2 linked regions of the Macaca fascicularis genome follow. Each later gene encodes a partner of the first gene's protein in a complex. Links are inferred from orthologs where the notes say so. Each region holds a gene or a part of one and is shown in the gene's direction. Other genes may lie near its edges.

Region 1 (3,644 bases):
TTTCCTGGCTGTATTTATTCAGTTATTCATTTAATCAGGAAGGACTGGAGTATGTGTATTTGTCATGTTAGAAGCTGGTGTCACTGTGTATTTGCTCCGGTGTCTGAACTACCTGCTGCGTCCTGTTCCAGGCAGTTCCCGTAGGTGTCACCTCAGACAGGTTTGATTTTTTTCCCTAGAGACAGACCAGGAGCTTTTGTGCTTCGTGCCTCAGGGTTGGAGGCGAGGAGCACGTGAGGCCTCAGGCACACGTCTGCATACGTGCAAGCATCTTAAAACTTTCTTTTTTTTTTTTTTTTTTTGAGACGGAGTCTCGCTCTGTCGCCCAGGCTGGAGTGCAGTGGCCGGATCTCAGCTCACTGCAAGCTCCGCCTCCCGGGTTCACGCCATTCTCCGGCCTCAGCCTCCCGAGTAGCTGGGACTACAGGCGCCCGCCACCTCGCCCGGCTAGTTTTTTGTATTTCTTAATAGAGACGGGGTTTCACCGTGTTAGCCAGGATGGTTTCGATCTCCTGACCTCGTGATCCGCCCGTCTCGGCCTCCCAAAGTGCTGGGATTACAGGCTTGAGCCACCGCGCCCGGCCTTAAAACTTTCACAGAACAGTTCTCCTCTTTTTTGTTTCATTTCTGCAACGTCCTGTGTGACTTGCCGTGCTGTCTTCTGGGCCCGCTGATGGGTTGTAATCTGCGCGTAGGGTAGTGGAGGAGCCTGAGCGTGGCCCGCATGACCCTGGGGTCTGGTTGCAGGCTGGACGACTGTGGCCTCACAGAGGCACGGTGCGGCGACATCAGCTCGGCACTCCGAGTCAACCCTGCACTGACAGAACTCAGCCTGCGCAGCAATGAGCTGGGTGATGCCGGCGTGCACTGCGTGCTCCAGGGCCTGCAGAGCCCCTCCTGCAAGATCCAGAAGCTGAGGTGAGGTGGGGCCTGGCACTGCCTCTGGCCTGGTGCGGCCTGCTTTGGTAGCCCGGCAGCAGGGGACAAAGCTGCCAGGGGCTCGTGGGCAGCTGTGGGTGGGCAGGCGGTGGCAGCGGGCATTTCCAGCATCAGCCAGAGGCACACAGGCCTGGTGGCCTCACGGCGGGGGGACAGGGCCCCTCCTGCCTTGTCCCAGCCCCTGCGCCCAAGGTCTGGGCCCGCCCGCCATCCCTGGCCTTCCAGCATCACCACAGGACCCCTGCTGAAGGGTGTGTCTGCAGACAAGGTTTCCCTGAGCCGAGCCACACGTGTGCCCTCTTTCACTCGGCCTGGAGACCCCAGAGCCCTGTCCAGGGAAGGAGCAGTACAGACCTACCGCCTGCAGAGCGCCGCTCCGGGCTCCAGGCTCTGGCAGGTGAAGGGTGTGGCAGTTTGGCTCAGGGGAGCCCTGCTGACGGCCAGGTATGCTCCAGCCTCCAGAACTGCTACCTGACGGGGGCCGGCTGCGGGGTCCTGTCCGGCACGCTACGCTCCCTGCCCACGCTTCAGGAGCTGCACCTCAGCGACAACCTCTTGGGGGATGCGGGCCTGCAGCTGCTCTGCGAGGGACTCCTGGACCCCCAGTGCCGCCTGGAAAAGCTGCAGTGAGTGTGTCCCCTGCCCCGGGACCTGTGCTCTCCACTGCCTGTCCCCCAGCCAGCCCCCTATATAGCACATCGCCTGCCAGGAGCCGTGAGGAGGGACTCAGGTCACAGGGTCCTTGTGGTGCTCTCCCCTCTCCATGATGCTGGGACTGGGGGGATCTGTCGTCACCCTCCCTCCCCCTCCAGTTGCCCTTTGCAAGGCACAGCTGCCCCAGGACCTGACAGTGGGAACAGACCTGGCCGTGAGTCCGGCTCCACTCACCACTTCAGTGTGTGTGGGGGGCCCGGCCACTGTGAGTTGACCACGGCCTGGCACGTGCAGGCGGCCCTGCCCTCCAGAGGCTGGTTTCTTTGTCCTGGGCCTGGTTGGGCCCCGAGGTCCGAGGTCGGGGAGGGGGTGAGGGGTTTCCAGAAGGAATGCCGGTGTCCACAGAGGCCTGGGCCTCTGGATGAGTCTGGGGGGGCCCTCAGCACTGCCACCTGATGCCTAGGCAGGAGAAGGCTGAGGGAGAGATGAGACACCAGCACCCCCCTGCACTCCCTGGCATCACACCCTTGGCTGGTGCACATTCCTGTGTGGTGCTAAGCTCGGCTACCCCCCAGGCTTGAGTATTGCAACCTCTCGGCTGCCAGCTGCGAGCCCCTGGCCTCCGTGCTCAGGGCCAAGCCGGACTTCAAGGAGCTCACGGTTAGCAACAACGACATCAATGAGGCCGGCGTCCGTGTGCTGTGCCAGGGCCTGAAGGATTCCCCCTGCCAGCTGGAGGCGCTCAAGTAGGCCCTGGGCCTTGGGGAGGTGCGGGGTGTGGGCCGGGGGTCCCATGCTGCTTCACGCGTGACCTGCATCCCCAGGCTGGAGAGCTGTGGTATCACGTCAAACAACTGCCGGGACCTGTGCAGCATCGTGGCCTCCAAGGCCTCGCTGCGGGAGCTGGCCCTGGGCAGCAACAAGCTGGGTGATGTGGGCATTGCAGAGCTGTGCCCAGGGCTGCTCCACCCCAGCTCCAGCCTCAGGACCCTGTGGTGAGTCACCTCCCCGAGGCCTCCTTCCTGGAGGGTCAGGGGCCGCGGGCCGTCCTCAGAGCCCTCCCCCACCCGCTGGGCGCGCCTCAGGCCATGAGATGGCGCTAAGGAAAGTCTGGGGGGGTCCATGTCCTGCAGGATCTGGGAGTGTGGCATCACCGCCAAGGGCTGCGCGGATCTGTGCCGTGTCCTCAGGACCAAGGAGAGCCTGAAGGAGCTCAGCCTGGCCGGCAACGAGCTGGGGGACGAGGGTGCCCGGCTGCTGTGTGAGACGCTGCTGGAGCCCGGCTGCCAGCTGGAGTCACTGTGGTGAGTGTGGCTGTCGGGGCAGGGCCCTGTCGCCCAAGAGAGGGCCAGGGTCACCAAGGAGACCAGGGGAGGAGTGAGCGACTCCAGTGGAGGTGCTGGGCTCAGCTCTGGCGTTCAGAATGCATGGGCCAGGGAGCAGCCTGTGGTTTGATAGTAACGGTGCTTGGGGCTGAGGACCAGGTGCAGGTGCCCACACCTCAGGAGGCTCTCAGATGTTTTTGCTCAGGTCCATGTGGGGCTTTCAGGAGAAGGGCCAGTTGCAATTGTGGGCCAGCCTGGTCCGCTGCCAGGCCTCAGTCCTGTCCGTCCACAGGGTGAAGTCCTGCAGCTTCACAGCCGCCTGCTGCTCCCACTTCAGCTCGGTGCTGACCCAGAATAAGTTTCTCCTGGAGCTGCAGATAAGCAACAACAGGCTGGGGGACGCGGGCGTGCAGGAACTCTGCAAGGGCTTGGGCCAGCCCGGCTCCGTGCTGCGGGTGCTCTGGTGAGTGTGAGAGGGACACGAGTACACATATTTGGGAGGTCATGTGCACGTGTGTGAGCACATGGGCGAGTGAGCACAAGTGTCTGAGCACGAGTGTCCGTGTGTGCGAGCACATGGGTGAGAGTGAGCGCAAGTGTCCGTGTGTGAGCACATGTGGGTGTGAGCACGAGTGTGTGAGCATGAGTGTGCACATGGGTGAGGCGTATGTGAGCACGTGTGTGTGAGCATGAGTGTGAGCATGGGTGTCTGTGAGCACATGGGCA
Region 2 (3,543 bases), on another chromosome or scaffold:
TGGGGGCTACATGCATCAGCTAACAGAACAAAAAGTTTTACAATGCTTTTTTCATACAGTGTCTGGAATTTACAGATAACACAAGCAGTTTAGGTCAGGGGTTGATGTTATTATTATTACTTTTTTTAACTCCTAGGGTCGGGTGGTGGTGCCAAGGTTGTCTGGCTGTTTATCTTTCTTTTGTTTCTTTGTCTGTTTCTTCCTGTCTTGTGAACTAGGCAAGGTGGGGGGAGGAGGGCAGCAGGAGTAGTAGTGGTCTCCTTCCTTAACACAACACGGGGGCCTTCAGAAGACCCAAAGATAGAGGGGAAAGTGGGCATTTTTACACTTAGGTATCAACAAAGTATGAACAGCTGTGTAGAAATGTGATTGGACAACAGGGGTGAGATCTAATGAAAATAGACTGAGTGGGGAAACCCAGCAAGGCCTCCCTGTCTAGATTCTTCTTGGCCTCCCTGAGCAGTCGTTCTTTTTTCTGGGTGTGGGGGGCAGGACCTTCTTTGGAATGAGGATCTTATGACCTACAACCACACAACGTAGGTCAGATAATTTCACCATGGCCACTTTTTACACAGAAAGGCTGAAACAGTCTGAATACAGAGCACGAAGGGATATTTTGATAATTCTTACTCCACAGGTATCCAAATTGTTACTCAGCAAAAGGACAGGTCTCTTTCTAGGAGTGCATTCTGCTGCTAACAAATATGATATGCTTTGTATTTTTTACCCAAAAAGAATTTGAGATTTGGGATTTAAGTTTATCTTCAGTTTCTCTACTCAATTCCCACCTACCAGTGGTTCTGATCAGTAGATAAGAACAGCTCCATCCTCTCGATGCCCCCAGAGCAGGGGGAGGAGGGTGGGCGGGAAGTGACCAGAACTGGGTGAGCTCACCCTAGAAGCTTCCTCCTCCTCCCTATTCAGTTACTCCCCGTTTCTTCTCCAGATCTGGGAAGCCTTCCAGCTGGGGGCAGCAGGACAGCCTCCATTCCCCTCGACCCCACCTTCCACCCCCGGGAGAGGTACTGTTGGGAGAATACCCTCCTAAAAAGAGACTTGGGTTTTGCTCCCTAGGAGCCCTGGAATAGCCTTGGCCAGAATTCCACATCTCCCATCAGTACCTCTCCTGAGGAGAGGGCCTCCCTTTCCCGTGATCACCTTTTGCGTCCTTTGTTAACCTCCAAGTCTACTTGGTGAAAACGGCCCACGAAGAAGTAACAAGGACTTTGTCCCTAGTGTGTCAGGTTTGGGCACCAGTGCTGTAGTGGCTTTCTCTGCTGCTCCTTGTGCATCAGCAGACAGATGTGGTTTACATAGGAGGAAAGACTAATGTAGGCAAAGATTTGCTCTTTCTTCAGCAGCCCTGGAAAGATGGTGGCCTGGGTGATTCACCACTCCTTCCTCACGTCCTTGATTTTATTTCAACTGAGTTCGATATGCTCCTCCCACCCTTTTCCTCTTGGAAGCCAAACCCCTTTGTAATCTGTATAAGGTCCATACCCCAGGAGCTGAGTGACTGCAGAAACTGGCCTTCCATCTCTCTCAGACACCAAGCTGCGGATCCAGGTAAGCAGTCCAAGAGGTGTTCTCAGGTGCCGCTTCTGCTTCAGGGTTGGAGAGGAAGAAGCTAGGGCCAGTCCACAGCACTGAGAAAGCTTGGATGATGCTAGCGCTGAAAAAATGTGGCCCAGGCAAACATCAGCTGGAGGCAGAGGGGTCGGGGTGGAACGTGCAGGCTGCAGAGCATCCATGGAACTGGAAAAGAAGGAGCCCTCAAGTTGGGGGAAGCCAGCATTTCTCTTTGGAATACAACGGAATCCTTTATGAGGCCAGTGTCAGGCACTGGCCTGAGTTCCCTTATGCTGTAAGACAACAAGACTCTGTCACCCATGGTCCTAGATGTTGGGGATACAATTTGGTTCATGATTTATTCAAACTGATGTTTCGATGAGCCATTTGAGCACTGGATACAAATGTATTTTGGATCAAAGAAACACCAGTATTCAAAGATAGAAACTGACAGGATTTTAGGTCACTTCGTAGGTCACCACCTAAACGGGAAAAAGACCTCGCTTTGGAGAGTGGCAATAAAACGCTTGTGGAGAAGGATACACGTGAGTGTCTCATTACACAAAAAACCTCAGGAAGTGGGACGGACATCTTTCTGGTTGACCTGAGACAGAAACTGTAAGCCAGGGAAGCCATAGGTGGGAGCTGGAGTTCTTTTTCTAAGAGGGCTCTTTTCCTTCTGTCTCCTTTTCTCAATTAGGCTTTTCCGGGAAAGTGAGGCCACCATGGCTCTGGATAAGTCTGTCATCCTGCTCCCTCTGCTTGTCCTGGTGCTGCTGGTGCTGGGCTGCCTGGGCAGGGAATCCCGGGCCAAGAAATTCCAGCGGCAGCACATGGACTCAGGCAGTTCCCCCAGCAGCAACTCCACCTACTGCAACCAAATGATGAAGCGCCGGAGTATGACGCACGGGCGGTGCAAACCAGTGAACACCTTTGTGCATGAGCCCCTGGTAGATGTCCAGAATGTCTGCTTCCAGGAAAAGGTCACCTGCAAGAACGGGCAGACCAACTGCTTCAAGAGCAAGTCCAGCATGCACATCACAGACTGCCGCCTGACAAACGGCTCCAGGTACCCCAACTGTGCATACCGGACCAGCCCGAAGGAGAGACACATCATTGTGGCCTGTGAAGGGAGCCCACATGTGCCAGTCCACTTCGATGCTTCTGTGGAGGACTCAACCTAAGGTCAGAGCAGCGAGATACCCCACCTCCCTCAGCCTCATCCTTTCCACAGCTGCCTCTTCCCTCTTCCCTCTTCCTTCCCTGCTATGAAAGATGTAACTCCAGTTAGGGCTCCTAGTCAACACACTCATGCTTCCTTTTCCTGAGTCCCACCCCTGCGTGATTTTGGGGGTGAAGAGTGGGTTGTGAGGTGGGCCCCATGTTAACCCCTCCACTCTTTCTTTCAATAAAACACAGTTGCAAGCACTTGATTTCTGAAGCGGTTCTGTCTAGGTACTGTTTCTGGCATTGGCTTCCAGCAAGGGGCAAGAACTGTAAATCTGATTCGCTTTGGAGAACGGTGAATGAAGTAATTAAATGCTTTCCCTTCTGACTTGGATTTTAGTGGCTTGAGAAAATTCCTTTCCTTGTAGATTCCTTGATGCCAAACCTAAAACTATTAAGTGTGGGCTGTTCTAGACAAAAGGGAGCAACAGCCTGGGACACTGCCATGCAGGGTGAACTGACAGAGGGGTGAAGCTCAAATACAGTCATTCTGTGGCACAGAAGGAAGGTGAGTGCAACCTCAGGAAGACCCTGCTTAGCCTCAGGATGAGGAAGAGGAGTCAATGAAATGATGATCCTAAATTTCCATTCTCCTTTTTTTTTTTTTTTTTTTTGAGTAAGCTATTACTAAATCAGAAAAATGGGCACCTCTTAGTTGGAAAGTCAGAATCTTACATTTTAGAGCTAGAAGTGACTTTGGAGAGCATGGAATTGAGGGATAGCAAGTAGATTTCAGTTTGTGTACCA

The links. The genes of interacting proteins can lie anywhere in the genome.
Region 2: the proteins of RNH1 (region 1) and RNASE1 are in contact, whole or in part, in a crystal structure (PDB 3TSR), measured with the Mus musculus proteins. The link is inferred for Macaca fascicularis from reciprocal best matches to the Homo sapiens genes RNH1 and RNASE1. Residues at the interface, in NP_001165571.1 of Mus musculus: Cys7, Asp32, Thr60, Asn89, Asp117, Glu145, Tyr146, Asn174, Glu202, Trp257, Trp259, Glu283, Ser285, Trp314, Lys316, Glu340, Glu397, Ser401, Asn402, Gln426, Val428, Tyr430, Asp431, Ile432, Tyr433, Trp434, Thr435, Asn436, Glu437, Arg443; in NP_035401.2 of Mus musculus: Arg26, Glu27, Lys32, Gln36, Pro48, Thr49, Gln53, Lys56, Arg57, Met60, Asn62, Gly63, Ser64, Cys65, Lys66, Pro67, Val68, Asn92, Lys94, Asn96, Leu111, Lys112, Gly113, Asn114, Ser115, Lys116, Asp121, Ala134, Glu136, Val143.

Annotation. Positions count from the first base shown.
Region 1 is NC_088388.1:396,513-400,156, reverse strand, and holds part of RNH1 (ribonuclease inhibitor), read left to right. Parts: intron 1-747; coding exon 748-918; intron 919-1,394; coding exon 1,395-1,565; intron 1,566-2,168; coding exon 2,169-2,339; intron 2,340-2,417; coding exon 2,418-2,588; intron 2,589-2,726; coding exon 2,727-2,897; intron 2,898-3,210; coding exon 3,211-3,381; exon of another isoform or gene 3,382-3,644. UniProt on the Homo sapiens protein: Ribonuclease inhibitor which inhibits RNASE1, RNASE2 and angiogenin (ANG). May play a role in redox homeostasis. Required to inhibit the cytotoxic tRNA ribonuclease activity of ANG in the cytoplasm in absence of stress.
Region 2 is NC_088381.1:88,468,481-88,472,023, reverse strand, and holds RNASE1 (ribonuclease pancreatic), read left to right. Parts: upstream 1-1,518; 5' UTR 1,519-1,566; intron 1,567-2,031; exon of another isoform or gene 2,032-2,114; intron 2,115-2,269; 5' UTR 2,270-2,294; coding exon 2,295-2,753; 3' UTR 2,754-2,997; downstream 2,998-3,543. UniProt on the Homo sapiens protein: Endonuclease that catalyzes the cleavage of RNA on the 3' side of pyrimidine nucleotides. Acts on single-stranded and double-stranded RNA.